Astyanax mexicanus: one gene and its partner. The protein of the gene in region 2 purifies or fractionates together with the protein of the main gene of each other region. This does not show direct contact. Links are inferred from orthologs where the notes say so. Each region holds a gene or a part of one and is shown on either strand. Other genes may lie near its edges. The genes, in order: dcun1d3 and cand1.

Region 1 (3,925 bases), on a different chromosome or scaffold from region 2:
GTATAAACTAACTTTAATATAAACTCATTAATTTTGGACTCTGTCCTTTATTCTATTCAAAGGTTTATTTTCCTTCCTAAATAAAACATTTTAACGTATCATCGCTGCCCAATGAAAAACATGTATTTCTAAAACGGCTACTTTACAGAAGAGAGATAAAACCTTTTTAAAAGCTTCCTTTAGTCGATATAAAGAGTGTTTATTTTATGAAATTTTGAAGAATTTCTATTCTTCTATTCTATTCCCCAAGAACTTCAGTCTCAGTGTTAGGGACAGTCTTATTCTCTCTAATCCTGTAAAAATGTATTTTTGTAGATACAAGGTTTTGACATGACAGCAATGATATATGGTTTCTATTAGTGTCAAACAATGTCTTGTCTGATATGACATGAATTTAAATTAAATTCTATACTTTATATTGGTATATGTCTGTACCTGAGCACTGACCAGCACCTTCAATTGAACACACACACACACACACACACACACACACACACACAAACACACACAAACACACACACAGCAGTTTATTCTGATATATTAGCCAGATAATATACTGCTATGAATGAACGCTGTCTCTGCTGCTCCATGCTGTTTACATGCATTCACTGCTCATATCTGTGCTGCATGTCCCATTGAAAACACTGTGTTTAAAAGCGCAGCTGCAAATTCTCAGCGTTCTATATTAAAGCGGCTTTACACTGCACAGATATACAGATATACACAGTGGAACACAGAATCTTCTCACTATATTTACTTTCGTACTCCTGCTCCAGACAGCTCTGACAATCAGAGGAGACTCTGATGTGTTTGTGTAGTTTATTGATGCGCATTTTGGTGCCAAATAAATAAACTTATCAACTGATCCGGATTTTAGAAACTTTCATAACTACAGGTGTAAAAACGCTCTTTTATACCAAGTTCTAATTCAGAAATCCTTACAACCAAGCTGAGATGTTCACAACAAAGTAAAAAAAATGTTTCCTATATCCTATTTATCATTCATTCTTTATTCCAGCGCCTCACGTTACGGCTTTATCTCCCCTCAAACATACAAGTAGAAACTATTATTTAGATTAATTAATATTAATATATTCACATTTTACTTTTCTTACATTCATTCTTTAAATTACATTTAAATGGCCACTATAAAACCCTGTCTTAAGAATGAAAATTGTGATTAATCGCAGTTTATCACAGAATATTGTTGTGATTATTCTGATTAAATGTTTTAATCCACTGACACTACTAATATATATATATATATATATATATATATATATATATATATATATATATATATATATATATATATATAGCTTTATGGGTTTAACGGAGGTAAATTAACTTACATACTAGACTTACTTAAACAGCTACAGTGAACTTTATATATATATTATATATTTTATGGGGTTTGTGGTTTATGATGCTTATATATAAATGTTGTTAAATGATCAAATGACTTTTACTGTAGTTGGTACAGGGATTTAGCAGAAGTAGCTAAAGCTAAAGCTAGCTCCATAACTCTACTACAGCCTACATAAGCTAACCAGGCTAAGCTGTGTTGTTACTGTATTTAAACTAAAGTAAACTAAATAAACAGGACTTTACCTACAAAATCAGGCTTTCATCTACTTTACTCTTCTGTTTATTTAGTTTATTAGATCGTTTATACTTTTCTGCGGCGCTGACAGAGCTGACAAAGTCTTATTTAGCTTTACTAAGCTAACAGGCTAACTAAGCTAGCTCAGTGTGCCCGCTGCTGGCCCAATTCAGCGCAAATCCCGTTCACTTTTCCGTTAGCTTTAGCATCGGGCTAATTAGCTGGGGTGCTAAACGCTGCTTCGCCCTGTTTCTCGGAGCGCGGAGGAGTTGAGGAGTGTGGATCTCAGGTGTTCGGGGTGTAGCTGAGTTCAGGTGAGCGGAGTTCAGGTGTGTGGGGTGTAGTGGAGTCAGGGGGCGGGTTCAGAGACTCACCTGGGCAGTAAGCGGGGGGATCGGGGCAGGTCGCCGCCGCCGCGGGTCCGACACTTCCACATCCAGCAGCTCCAGCCCCCGTGCGCTCCTGCTCTCAGCCCGGCTCTACAGCTCCAGCGAGGGGCGAGGGCCCGGCCGGCAGCCCGCAGCGCGGCTCCGGGGGGTCCCGGTGTGAGTGCGGTGCTGGGTGAGGGAGATACGGGGTTTGTGCGTGTGTGAGAGTGTTTTTCTCTTTGTGTTCCTCTTCTGCTGATCTTTACTCAATCACTGAACATTATGGGAATTTTCCCTCCGTCACGTCCTGTACAGCCTGAGCGGATCCGCCGCAAAACCCGGACTGAATCTGCTTAAAAACACGGACTGCGTCTGGTTTAACACCGCGGACTGGATTAGCCTCAATACAAGGAAGGGGTATGCTTTAAAACATGGACTGGTTCTGCTTCAAAATATGGACTGGATCAGTCACAAAACCTGGACTGGATTTCTTTCAAAACCAAAACTTGACCTGCTTCAAAATCTGGACTCGATCTGCTTCAAACCCAATACTGGATCTGCTTTAATACCAGGACTTGATCAGCTTCAAAACATGGACTGGATCTACTTCAATTACCGGATCTGCTTAAAAAACATGACTGTGTCTGCTTCAAATCATGGACTGGATTAGCCACAATACAAGGAATGAATCTGCTTCAAAATATGGACTTGCTCTGCTTCAATACCAGGACCAGATCTTCCTACAAACCTGAACTGGATTAGCCACAAACCTGGACTGGATTTGCTTCTGAAGACTGAAAAACAGTTTTTACCATAGTACTGTACGAGAACTGAACACTGCAAAATGCACGCACACTCTCAGACCACTACCAAGGAACTAAAAAATTAAACGTACAAACCTTAATAGCTGGACTTACAACGCACTGTGCACTTTCTGTATTTATTATTGGGTAAATTGTTACTATATTGCCTATATTTTCATACATCCACTGTAAATGTGTGTAAATTTGTGTATTTGTACATAGAGCTGTTATTATTTTGTTTTCTTTTATTTTTGTTCAGGCACCATAAGGATTGCTGCTAAATTTCGTTGTACACTGTGCAATGACAATAAAAGTATCTTATCTTATCTTATCTTCAAAACCAAAACTTGACCTGCTTCAAAACATGGACTGGATTAGCCACAATACACGGACTGGATCTGCTTCAATATCAAGGCTGGAGCTGCTTCAATACCAGGGCCAGATCTGCTTTAATATCAGGACTGGGGAAGCCACAATACAAGAAATGGGTCTGCTTCAAAACTAGGACTGAATCTGCTTTAGTACCTGGACTTGATCTGCTTCAAAATAAGGACTGGATCTGCTTCAAAACATGGAATGGATCTACTTTATAGCTGGGACTGGATCAACCCCAATATCTGGATTGGATCTGCCTGGGATTCTGCAAATAAATGTATTTTATTTTAATTTTATTTTTTTTTTTTTTTGAAATGTGATATGTTTTTTTATTCTGTCACTGGTCCATGGAGCTTAAAATGTTGAGATATTGAAGATACTATTTCGAATTTAAACCTTGCTTTTGATTGGCTATAGATAGTCAGTAAATTGGGTGCCCCCTATCTCCAGTCCCTTGCTTGTTCTTTCCTAAACTTCTCTCGGCATAAATATCTATCTATCTATCTATCTATCTATCTATCTATCTATCTATCTATCTATCTATCTATCTATCTATCTATCTATCTATCTATCTATCTATCTATCGGCGTTGTGTCTGTGGAGGGCGGGGCATATGGGAGAGGGGCGGGGCACAGTGAGGGGAGACGAAGAGAAGCGCAGCTGCTTCCATCTGTGTTGGAATTTCATGTAAGAACCCGTTATTCAATTCAATTTATTTCTATAGCGCTTTTTACAACAAAGGTTGTCATAAAGCAGCTTTACAGAGAAAAACAGAT
Region 2 (3,925 bases):
GAGGGAAAAACAGCCAGCAAACTTACCGAAAAAACTGCAAAGAACTTTGTCCAGAATGTCTGTTAGAGCAATTAACAGCAGAACACGACATTAATAATACAGCTATCTAAATTCAGTTTAGCTAATAAAAAATAATAATGGTAGTTAGCTAGCTAAACGTTTGACTAACTACTAGTACTAGTCTACTGCTTGACGTAAGGGGAAAAAAGAACATGATGCAGGTTCGGTCTGTTATTGGTCCCGCCCATACAGTCATTGGTCCCACCCCAGCTAGGTGTAACCCAGCCCTTTTTACAATAACCACACCTTTTTAAATAGAGCTGAATAACGCTTTAAAAAACGAATTCTGTGGGAATATAAAACAAATTGACAATATAAGCAGAGGTTACACCAGCTGTTGCATTTAAATAAAGGTGGAAGAATTACAGTATATTAGAAAAAAACGTGATTGAAAGTTGTCTGTTTTGCCATTGAAACCTATGGGGGTGGGTGGGGTTATACAGCTTTCTGCAGCCGAACAGCAGGGGGCGCCCGACCTGTGGTGGCTTCACTTTTGAGAGACGATGTTCTGTCCAGCTATACACAGTCTATGATCTGAACCGACTCACTGCGCTGTGATGCTACTCAGTAATGCTAACTTCACATATAATAGAGGAGGCATGTGCCAGTCTTTACCCCCCTGTTGTTGGGGCATCACTAGTGATAGGGAATTGTTGGGTAATTGGACGTGTAAATTAGGGAGAAAATGGGAATAAATTAGAACTAAAAATGATACTAAATAAAACTGTTAGCTGTGTTGTCGCTGAACCTCTCCAAACTCTGTAATCTTTATTCCTGCGTTGCGATTGGCCAGTTTAGCTGTCGGTGAAGGCGAGGCCCCGCCCACAGAGATCTCTCTCAACTTTGCCCTCTCCGTCTGGAGCCGCAGCTCCTCCCTCTTGCAGAGCGAAGCAGGACCTCCATTCAAACCTCCAAACTCAGGGGGATGCAAGTGTAACTCCGCCGCCCTGCTAGAGCCGCACAGAGACTGCAGAGAGCGTGGAGAACCGGCTTTGTGTCGCAGCGCTGCAGCTACGCGAGAAAGTGGAGGGGGAGGATAACTAGTGATTGTGGCCGCGATACTCACAAGTGGTTGCTACCAGCGAGCTGCTCCAACTGACTGACTGCAAATATGGCGAGCGCCTCATACCACATCTCTAATCTCCTGGAAAAAATGACTTCCAGCGATAAGGATTTCAGGTGAGCCATGCTCCCGAATACCGCCGCTGCGGTGTGAAGTTCGGGTATATGTGTGGTTGTTAGAGCTGCAGCGCGTGTGGGCCGTGTTTTCGTTCTGAAATGGGGATCGTGCACTGAGTTTGGAGCTGGGTAGGCTAAGCTAACGATAGCTAGCCTAGCTTGGTTAGCTTAGCTTGCTAGTTAGCTAGGCCGCAGATCCGCCGCTGTTGTGTTTAGCGCACCAGCCAGTTAGTCGACAAGTTATAAGATAGCTAAAGACAGTTGGAACGTCTTATTTTTGCTTTTAAATCAACCTTATGGAGTTAATTCGCTGTAAGTGGGGATTTGTGCTAACAGTAAGCTAGCTAGCTTGCTAACTAACTCGCTAACAATGTAAGCAAGCTAGCTCCTCAGGTTAGCGCGCTAAACGGCTGATTTTGCCAGTTACGTTAGCTAGCACTATTAGCAAACATTAGGGCGCTATGAGCTCTTCTAGAGCAGGCTGGTGCGGAGGGAGGCTGCGCTGGCTTGCTAACTTAACTATGAAACAGATAATCACCGTTTTATTGCACAGTAACAGTTGTTTGGATGATAGTCAACGTTATATTTTGAACAAATCTACTAACATGAGATGTAGATGTAGGTTAGCTGACTAATTTAACAAAGCTGGCTAGCTAGTGTGGCCTGTCACAAAGTTGACTTGTCATCTTGTCTTGTCATTAACTCGTTGGCTAATCTATTTAGCTAATAGAATAGTCGTGTTTTCTCTGTCAACACTAAGGTTATTAAGTTATCACCAGGAGTTTAGTCTGTGGGGCAACAATGTATGTTAACTAGTTAGTTAGCTATCTAGGTAATTTAGATGTTTAGCATGCTGGTGCCATTATTATTGTAACCAGTGGAAGTTGACTCACGTTGTGTTTTTATAGTAAGTGGCTGCAGGTGCAAAACTATGCAGCTCACATAAGTTGACAATTGCTCGAATCTAAATTAAATCTACTTAACATTTACTAAACTTGAGCAAAAAGTAATATTATACTGTAACGTTAGAGAAATAATTTTAAGGGACTTTCTGAAAACGTGTGAAGTAGCTAATAATGTAAAAATATAAGCGTTTCTCACATAACATTCCAATCTAGACCAATGCTAAAATTTATCAAAGCGTTAAAAGTAGCATTGCTAACACAAAAATTAAAATACGTTAACACCAATTCACCGACGTTACCAGAACGTTTAAAAACGTTAAATAAAACGGTCTAAGAATAGTAACGCTAACCATCTATTTCATGTATAAAAGTTTTTGGTAATAAAAACTAACAATGCTTTTTGCTTTGAAAACATTTCCTTCATAGTTGAAACATCCTGGCTTTTCAGGAAAATTAAACAAAACACATCATTTAACTTATAAAAACAGTTTTCAGTCAGATAGGTTTAAATTTATGGATCAGACATTTTTGTTTTAATGTGTTCATAACATAAAATTTCAACACTTCAAGTTTAAAACCTACATTAAAAATATTATCCATCAAATATTTCACGTTTAACCAATGTCAAGTAAGTTCAGTACAAATCTACAAAATTTAGTCACAATAAGTACATTATTGAAAAAATTGGACATCACCATAATAATATATGATGATCCTGATTTCGCCTATTGTGTTTGTCAATGTTGACAATAATTAATAATGACGACATTGTTTATTGCAGCATTGTAAATGAGTGTTAAATTGAGGTACAATTTACTATTAACTTACTATGGATAGAGATGAGAGAACTGTGGTGCACGCTCTTGTTGTTTTGGAGTTGAGGGTTGGTTGTTTGCAAGCTATTGCTTCAAAGAGTGAAATTGTTAGTTTTCCTCACTGATAATGCTATTTCCACACCACACTAACTTTTTACGCTGCAATCTCCTAATGTTGTTTGCATAATTCACCAAGATACAATACTCCAATGTCTTGATTTGATGTGTTCGTGTCTCAATATGTTGCAGGCAACAGTTTTAACCCATCCTGGAGTATGCTCCATAAAACTTGTTTTGATGTATCTAACTTGAAGATATTAGCAACAATTCTGTAGATTGAGAGGTTGGACATTCTTGAGTCTGTTTGTTGTGCTATGTCTGATCACTTTTGGTAGGTAGCAACCACAGCATGCCAGGATCGCTCATTATTCAAGTTGTTTTGGAGATGCTGTGACCCATTCATATAGTCATCGCTATTTGTCCCTTGGTCAAAGTGTTTAAGATTCTTACGCTTGCCCATTTTTTCAAGAACCAACTGCGCACTTGCTACCTAATACAGTATACAGTATCCCACCCATTCGCCGTTGCAGCAAGATAATCAGTTAATTTACTTTTCAGAGATTTAAGGTCATGACATCACTCTGTTGCAATTTAGAATAAGAAAGTGCCAGCAGATGAGCCAAACATTCCATTTTCCCATTTTCGGTTTGTTGGAGAATTCAACGTTTTAAAGATGCTTAATCAAATATGTTGTCCCTCATATGCTCATGTGCACTTGATTTGTCTTTATTTTTAGATAAAGATGAAGTGATTACCTCAGAAAGAGGGAAGTCTAAGAGGGAGTTTGATTTGTACATTTTGTGCAGTGTCTTTAGTATTAAAAACTGTACTCTTTTCTACAGTATATTAAATATATTTTTAGTGCTTGTGTGTATTGATTTAGAGGAATAGAATTTCCCAGAATTG

What was found.
Region 1: the proteins of cand1 (region 2) and dcun1d3 purify together in Homo sapiens (affinity purification with western blotting; 3 studies listed by BioGRID, with this or other methods). This does not show direct contact. The link is inferred for Astyanax mexicanus from reciprocal best matches to the Homo sapiens genes CAND1 and DCUN1D3.

The regions. Positions count from the first base shown.
Region 1 is NC_064413.1:56,192,493-56,196,417, forward strand, and holds the start of dcun1d3 (DCN1-like protein 3), read right to left. Parts: upstream 2,380-3,925; 5' UTR 1,978-2,379; intron 1-1,977. UniProt on the Homo sapiens protein: Contributes to the neddylation of all cullins by transferring NEDD8 from N-terminally acetylated NEDD8-conjugating E2s enzyme to different cullin C-terminal domain-RBX complexes and may play a role in the cell cycle progression by regulating the SCF ubiquitin E3 ligase complex, after UV damage.
Region 2 is NC_064409.1:11,545,215-11,549,139, forward strand, and holds the start of cand1 (cullin-associated NEDD8-dissociated protein 1), read left to right. Parts: upstream 1-917; 5' UTR 918-1,171; coding exon 1,172-1,239; intron 1,240-3,925. UniProt on the Homo sapiens protein: Key assembly factor of SCF (SKP1-CUL1-F-box protein) E3 ubiquitin ligase complexes that promotes the exchange of the substrate-recognition F-box subunit in SCF complexes, thereby playing a key role in the cellular repertoire of SCF complexes.